Linked DNA regions of Macaca fascicularis. The protein of the gene in region 1 purifies or fractionates together with the protein of each later gene. This does not show direct contact. Links are inferred from orthologs where the notes say so. Each region holds a gene or a part of one and is shown on either strand. Other genes may lie near its edges.

Region 1 (4,252 bases):
TGTGTTAACAAGGTTAGAATTTAAGTATAATGATAATGTTCTCAGTTTTTTGTGGTGGACACTTCAGGGCAATTTAAGAGACTGTAAATAATAATAAAAATAATAAAGTAATCAGACCACTTGTGCTCAAGGCTAGACCCCTCAGTCCCAACGGCCTCAACCACCCTCAACTGCTTTTCCAACCAAATATTCCTCCCCCTGCAGGATCCCAGGGCCATCCAATCAACCGGCCAATGACGGTTTCACAGAAGCGGTCCTGGGGAGGGGTATTATCTGCAGGAACACGTCCTGCCAAGTTTGTAGTCGAGTCACCTATTTCGGTTGGTGGCGGCCGCTATTTCTTTAAAAGGGCAGTAGATTTCGAAACAGGAGGGGGAGATCAGGAAAAGGAACTCAGCTGCCTTTGATAACTGCCCTGCAACCTTCCCGTCCCGGAGCGCGTGCTCGGCTGGGGAAGCGCCCGCGGCCGCCGCATCCCCAAGCGGGCGCGCGGCGCCACCTCTTTCCGGGGCGCCCACCTTCCCCGGGAATCCCCCCGCCCGGCGGTCCCCCAGCGTCTGCAGCGCGGCCGCCCCGGCTTTGTCTCCGGCGTCGCGCTCGGGCGCCCGCTCTCCCCACATTTCCCCGTGTGCAGGCTGTAACCCGATCTCCCATTTCCTGGTGGATTCTCTTAAAGAGGCAGCGGTCGAGAAGCAGAACAAAGGCTATTGTTTTATTTCCTCCTTCGGATTCCGCGTCCTTACCGGAATGGCCCTTCATAGATAATTACTTTCGTTGCATCTGCGCTTAGGGAAACGTTTCAAAACCCTTGTGCAAATCGATGTATCCAAGAGATGGAGCCAGGGGAGGTGGGAGGAGTTTAATAAAACCTGTTTTGTGGTGTCTGGGGCCACGATGTAACGTTTTTTAAAGGTGTCTTCCTTAAGCCCGGAAATTGGCTCCGCCAGCGGGAGGTCTCGCGGCGTGGAGGGCGGGCGCCCGCACCGGGGGCCGGCCTGGGGGGCTGCGCCGCTCGCCCCGCTAGCAGCCGCGGCCTGGCGCGGCCCCGCTCCCCGGGTTTCCTCCGCCCGCGCCCCCGCGGCCGCCCCTCCCCCGCGCGGCTTTTATTTCCCCGATGCCGGGCTGTAACCCGAGCTTTTATTTCCTGGTGGCTCCTTTAAGAGGCAGAGCTCAGTGCTGGGAATTCACGTCAGTTTCTGCACTGAAACTCTCAAGATCAATGAGCAAAGAGCTTTCTCAGTTCTGCCTTTCAGTTTCTCTCTTCCAGGAAGGAAAACATTCGAGAGAGCGAGGGAGAGCGGCGGGAGGGCGGGGGGCGGGGGCGCCGGCTGCGGGTGGGAGGAGAGACCGGGAGGCTGGCCGGGCTGCGTCCCGGGTCCCCGCGCCGCGCCGCGACCTGCAGACCCCGCCGCCGCGCTCGGGCCCGGCTCCCACGCCCCCGCCGCCCCGCGCGCCCAACTCCGCCGGCCGCCCCGCCCCGCCCCGCGCGCTCCAGACCCCCGGGGCGGCTGCCGGGAGAGATGCTGGAAGAAACTTCTTAAATGACCGCGTCCGGCTGGCCGTGGAGCCTTTCTGGGTTGGGGAGAGGAAAGGAAAGTGGAAAAAACCTGAGAACTTCCTGATCTCTCTCGCTGTGAGACATGTCTGAGACTCCTGCTCAGTGTAGCATTAAGGTAAAAATCTTCTCCCCTCCCTCTCCGTGGTGGAAACCCTGAGCTGCACCGGCCAGGGCAGTCGTGCTGGGCTCCTCAGAGCGGGCTGTTGCAGTTGCTCTGTTCGCAGTAAATTATTTGGGGCGCGAGGGAAGGAGATGCAGCTCGCGGCGGCGGCTGTACCCTTTAGCGTAACCTTGCTACTCCCCACCGCCGAGCCCCTGCCGGCTCCTCGGCCCCCACCCTCTTGCTTTTTGACAATGAAATGCCGGTCACAATTGGTCAGGAGCAACCCGGATTGTCTCCAGAACTGTAAAACACCCCCGTAATTAGTGCGCTTAAAAAAACCCCCAAAAACCTGCTCCCTATTCCTACACCCAACATGTGACTGAAATGTAACTTTTGTCCCCGAGGGGTGGTCTTCTTAGAAAAAAAGTTCTTCAGTCCCAGCTGCGATAGAATCTTTTTCTTCATTTTTTTAAAGGACTCTCTGGGTCTGATCAGACATGATTTTTTTCCCCCTCGTCTGATTGTAATTGCAAGTGCTGTCGGAGAGGCAGTCCTGGTGTCAGCTTTTCCTAGGCATTGCACAATGAATTTTTTTTTTTTTAACCTAGGTGAATAAAGTTGCTGAATAGTTATTTTACTCTGATCCATATGAAAGTTGAGCAATCCCAAAGTAGAAAACTCCTGTGATGCAGGGAGAGGAAGAACTAAGCAAACCAGGCAAAATGACCTTCTGTGTTTGACAGTGCAGAGAGGATATCTAAGAGCAGCACCCTCCCAGCTTTCTGGCCGGTTTTGCAGTATTGTAAATGCAGGGCGGTGGATGTTTGTAAACACACTGCTGGGCTACCCAGTAGTTGTGTGTATGCATGTCTATATATCTGTAAAGACTGTGGTGCTGCGGTTTGTTGCTTCTGAAAAGTTGTTGTAAAGTTTGCCACCATTGGGAGGCAGGATGATTTATCCGTCTACCCCAGTTATTTTTCCCATCGCTGCATTTATTGTACACTTTATTCATTTCACTATTCCACCAGTACCCAGGTAGAAAGCCTTCCGCCCCTGTGAGAGGCTGAAGCTGCTGAAGTTTTGTTTTTGGTTTGGCCTATTTAATGTATGTTCATTGAATGGACATTACAGCAACAATGGACAAGTAACCTGTTTTCTTCGTCTGTAGAAAAACCCTTCCTGTTTTAACACTGCCTTTCAATTAGAATCTGTGTAGGGGAAACGCAGTAGTTCATCATACAGGCTTACTAGGTTTTTAATAATTAGAATCACATTTTGGTGTTTCTTACCAGAAAACATTTTCATGGGTTTGAGGAGAGGCTAATGTGAAATCAAAAGGTGTGTTGGGCTTCTTTGTTTTTGCCTCACAAAAATGCCCAATGGAACTTTTACGCTTTTGTGTTTGTACATATCTGGAGGTAGCAGTATGTCTGTGGGCATGGGGCGTGCCACACTAAAGAACTTGGGGTACTTTGATATTAATACTTCAAAACCAGTTTCTTTTGTGGTATAAATTAGATTCTACACCCAGTTCAGGAAAATCCTGCGGTATAGGTAATCTGATTTATTTGATGCTTCATAACATAGAGGTAACTTAAGACTAGGGTATTCAATCAATAAATTGTATTTAGCTCAGTGGCAATAAACCCAACATCAGGAAAATCTGGACCAGTTACAGATCAGTAACTTTAGGACAAAACAACAAAAAGCAATGCTTTCTGTGACCTTTCTTGATTCTCTTCTAAACTGCATCCCCACCGTTCTGATGGGCTTATGGTGGTGTGCTGGCTGCAGACTGCTACTGAGTGGTTTGTTTCATTGTGCTCCAGTCGGAAAAAGAGTACAACAGCCCTTTGCCTTACTCACATACAGAACCAATCCCAAGCAAAACGCTTTCTTAAATGCAACATGAAAATTGTGTCTATAATTTGCATATCATTTTTTCCTTATTGCTTACAACTCAGTTCTTTTAGGGTGCCTCTTTTCATTACTGTGTACTTCTATGTAATTAAAATAGATTTAATGTTCTTTACCAGAAAGGAAAGAATCACTTTTATTTTGGATTGTTCTTCATGGAACCAGTGTGTATTTGCGTAGACTGCATGTGTCTAGGTGAACGTATGTGAAAAGTATCTTTCCATGGAGTTTGTTTAATTCACAATGTTCCAATAATAAGCACTAGAGATCAAGGACTGGGATTATTCCGGGTCATCTGAAATGTTCTGGTGATGTGTGCTGCGTTTCATTTAGTCCTTGGGATGTGGTACGGTGACTGCATAATAAAAAATGTTTGCTGGTAACCCACAAGCAAGTTGCTTGCTGCTAGAGTCCAGTAAACAATACGCTTTTCTGTGTAGTGAAGAACAAATGTTAGAGGTTTTCAAGGATGAGCTGATGAACCTGATATACCAAACTCATGTGACACAAAAGGCTCTCACTATGGAGAGATTTCTCCCACTCCTTCTCTCCACTCCTGAAACCGTCCTCACTTGCTTTCATTCCTAACAAGTAGTGGGTCAGCAGGCAGACAGTTCCTCAGCGGCTGGTGAGATGCAGCACAGAGTAGCCTGACCAGAGGCAGCCACAGA
Region 2 (3,815 bases), about 500 kb from region 1:
AAAACCATAGATGTCATTAACAAAATTTTAATATTGATTACATGTTGAGAGAAAAGAATTTTGGATTTGTTAGATTAAATAAAGTATATTATTAAAATTCTGTCTACTGTTTTATACTGTTTTTTACTCATGTTATTTCTTTTATTCTAGAAAATCTTTTTCTCTTTCTCTTTGTCAAAATTCTAATTCTTCAAGATGAATTTCAACGCCTATTATTTCCTGAAGTTTTTCCTGATTACTTACAGAGAGGGGATATTTGTGTAATTTTAGTGTAAATATCGTTTACCTCCCCAGTTAGATTGTAATACCTTAGCTAGAAGAGGCCCTGTTCAAACTTCTCAGCATTCATCATGTCTATCATGGTGATTTGCATTTACTGGATGTCTTTACTAATATTGTTTGATTTGCGGGGAAGTGAATTAGGGGTCTGGTAGAGCAGCAAAAGTGTACTCGTATGAAATTGTCAAATATTTGCTTTTTTTTGTTTACTGTTTTAGTTACTTTATATCTAACTAGCAAAAGTAAACAATAAAAATGGGAGTAGGAAATGGGAGGCTGTAGCTGTGTAGTTTCCTACTGGTTTCAGGATAAAGGTCTCTTGGTTTTTGTCTCCAGTTTAACAGTGAGTGGTTGTTTTGGTCTTTTATTTTCATGTATTCTTTTATATTTACGTATTTTTATTTTGAAGCACTACATTAAATAATTAAATACAATCATGTAGCTGTTTACATTTAGGAACTAAAGCATTTTAATAAAATGATTTTAAAGGGCAGGAACCAGTGTTTGCCAGGTAGTGCACCTAATACTGTGCTATATATTTAGCATTATTTTATTTGATCCTTAATTAATTCAGTGATGGCAGTGGCGCTGTCCCTATTTTTTTTTTTTTTTGAGACAGAGTCTCGCTCTGTTGCCAGGTTGGAGTACAGTGGCACGATCTCTGCTCACTGCAGCCTCAGCCTCCTGGGTTCAAGCGATTCTCCTGCCTCAGCCTACCTAGTGGCTGGGACTACAGGTGTGCGCCACCACGCCCAGCTAATTTTTTGTATTTTAGTAGAGACAGGGTTTCACCATGTTGGCCAGGATGGTCTCCATCTCTTGACCTCGTGGTCCGCCCATCTCAGCCTCCCAAAGTGCTGGGATTACAGACATGAGCCACCGTGCCTAGCCCGCTGTCCCTATTTTATTTGCGAGAACTTGCTTAAGGGTACCCACTGAGTGATAAAGCTTATATTTGAATCTGTTTCTGCCACAGTATTACTTGCTGATCATGAGAAATTTTTTAGAGAATAGAAGAATGAAGGGAAACTGGTAAATAGACACAGAATTATGTTTACTAAAAAGGTCTTGGAATTGTGGTATTTATTATTTTTCTCACAATGATTTTTAATTTAATTCTTACCTATTTTCTTTCTTTTTTAAAATTTTTTTCCTAGGCTGGAGTTACTTAGGCTGGAGTGCAGTGGCTTGATTATAGCTCACCGGAGCCTCAAACTCCTGGGCTCAAGCGATCTGCCTGCCTCAGCCTCCTGAGTAGCTAGGACTACAGGCTTATCCCACCATACCTGACTAATTTTTTGGTATTTTTTGTAGAGACAGGGCCTTGCCATTTTGTCCAGGCTGGTCTTGAACTCCTGGGCTTCAGTGATCCTCCTGCCTTGGCCTTCCAAAGTGCTGGAATTATAGGCATGAGCCACCATACCCAGTCCCATTTTCCTAATTCATACTTAATCATCCATCTTTTGTTTAAGCTGTTTATCAAAATAAACAAAAATGTTGTAAAGTGATATAGCTGAAACAGAAAAGATTTTGTTAGTTGATCCTGTAATAGTTTTGAAGTAGAAATATAAGTGTTATTCTTTAAAAGTTTAATATTGGACATCTAGTTTATGCTTTTACACCAGCAAATTTTAATAGGAAGGCCAACATTTGAATGTAAAGATCAGCAAAATTAGTGTAATTTATTACATGTAAGATAATGCAAAATAAGATAGAACTAAATCTGAGAATAAAACCAAGTCAGGCATATTTTAACATACCACAAACTTGGAAGAAAGTTATATTTTAGTGTTGTATAATACAGAATATTTATCACTCTGTGTTGGGTGCTCCCTGATAGACTGATTGAACTGTCCCTAATGCAGAACATAGGTTCACTGTTAAGTATATGACATTTTAGATGAGGTAGCAGTACAGTTAAGTATATGACATTTTAGATGAGGTAGCAGTACATGTTCCTGGAAATGCAGTTGGAAATGCTGCAGTAGAAACTGAGAAGATCTTGTTCTGTTCTGAAAGATGGAGCAAGCCTTCCAGAGTCCCATTGTTCAAGTCCCTACCTGAGACCATTTCTGCCACTTAAAGGGGCCTGTGTGCTGGGCAAATTAGCCTTTAGAAATGTTATTTCATACTAAAAACATGTACGTGTGAACAATATCTGCTTCTACCCTGCAAAAAAGTATCAGATATAATCTTACATGCAAATATTAGTTATATTATGTCAATAAAGGTATCCCAAGTTAAGTCAACACTGAGTAGTGCATGGTGAATGCACTGTGAATGCAATATGAATGCCAGAGTGAATTTAATAATGTTACTATTAGGTAGTTGGAAAGAGAAGTTACATCCTAGTTTCTTGAAACTTAGATGCAGAGAGGGTGTCATATAATCCAGATAGACTTTTGTGATTATAATCTCAGGAATGAGAGATAATTATTGAGATCCGTTTTATCTGTTGGTTGTTGTTACTGACAATAACAACAAAATAAAAAGCACGCTAAGTGGAAAGAGTCCTGAAAAAGACATCAACTGTGTTTACAAGCTCTGTGACCTTACATGAATCTCAGTTTCCACAGGCAAAGCTCTCAGGATAAAATAAAATATGTTATAAAACAAAACATAAGATAAAACAATGTATGTGAAGGTACATTATAATTTGAAAATAAATGTGCAAACTTAAGGTGATGATACTGTATTTTTAATTTTGCCACAGTCATTTAATAGAAGAGTTGCATAATCTAAAGTTGACAGAATTTTTAGAAGGACGAATAATATGAGATTGGGGGGAAAAGTGGTCAAATAGAGGCTTATATGGAATATTTGAAATCATTCTTATGAAATCATCACGTAATTTTGAGAAATCATTGTAATAGGAATACCAAGATGACTCTTGGATTTTTATACAACAGGCAGTTGGATTTGTTATTTTTGCATGAAGAATAAATACATGGTTCATCCTCTTCTCTTTTGAATTTAAACCTGAAGGTTATGAATACTGATGGCACTGGGAGACGAGTACTAGTGGAAGACAAAATTCCTCACATATTTGGATTTACTTTGTTGGGTGACTACGTTTACTGGACTGACTGGCAGAGGCGTAGCATTGAAAGAGTACATAAACGAAGTGCAGAGAGGGAAGTGATCATAGATCAGCTGCCTGACCTCATGGGCCTAAAGGCCACAAATGTTCATCGAGTGATTGGTAAGTAACTCCAAAGCTTTCTTAGAAACGGAAACCAGGAATGAAAAAAGATGGAGATAGTCAGCAGTGTAAATTATTGATGTTTTGAGGCAATTTAGAAATCTTCTTTACCCCCTTCTTTTTATACTAAGAAGGGACCTTTTAAACGTTGACTTTACTACTCTAGCTACCCAGGTTTGAATTGAAGGACTGAATACATATGCACAGGCACACCTTCATCCAAAGAATTCAGTCTGATAGTATGAATAACATACCTTATTTTAAAGCTTACTATGGATATTAAAGGAAAATACTTCACCATGCTTTTACTCCCTATTAATCTGCATATTATTTG

What was found.
Region 2: the proteins of ETV6 (region 1) and LRP6 purify together in Homo sapiens (affinity purification with mass spectrometry; 3 studies listed by BioGRID and IntAct, counting the BioPlex papers as one, with this or other methods). This does not show direct contact. The link is inferred for Macaca fascicularis from reciprocal best matches to the Homo sapiens genes ETV6 and LRP6.

The regions. Positions count from the first base shown.
Region 1 is NC_088385.1:14,424,454-14,428,705, forward strand, and holds the start of ETV6 (transcription factor ETV6), read left to right. Parts: upstream 1-1,186; 5' UTR 1,187-1,640; coding exon 1,641-1,673; intron 1,674-1,732; exon of another isoform or gene 1,733-4,252. UniProt on the Homo sapiens protein: Transcriptional repressor; binds to the DNA sequence 5'-CCGGAAGT-3'. Plays a role in hematopoiesis and malignant transformation.
Region 2 is NC_088385.1:14,928,666-14,932,480, reverse strand, and holds part of LRP6 (low-density lipoprotein receptor-related protein 6), read left to right. Parts: intron 1-3,264; coding exon 3,265-3,481; intron 3,482-3,815. UniProt on the Homo sapiens protein: Component of the Wnt-Fzd-LRP5-LRP6 complex that triggers beta-catenin signaling through inducing aggregation of receptor-ligand complexes into ribosome-sized signalosomes.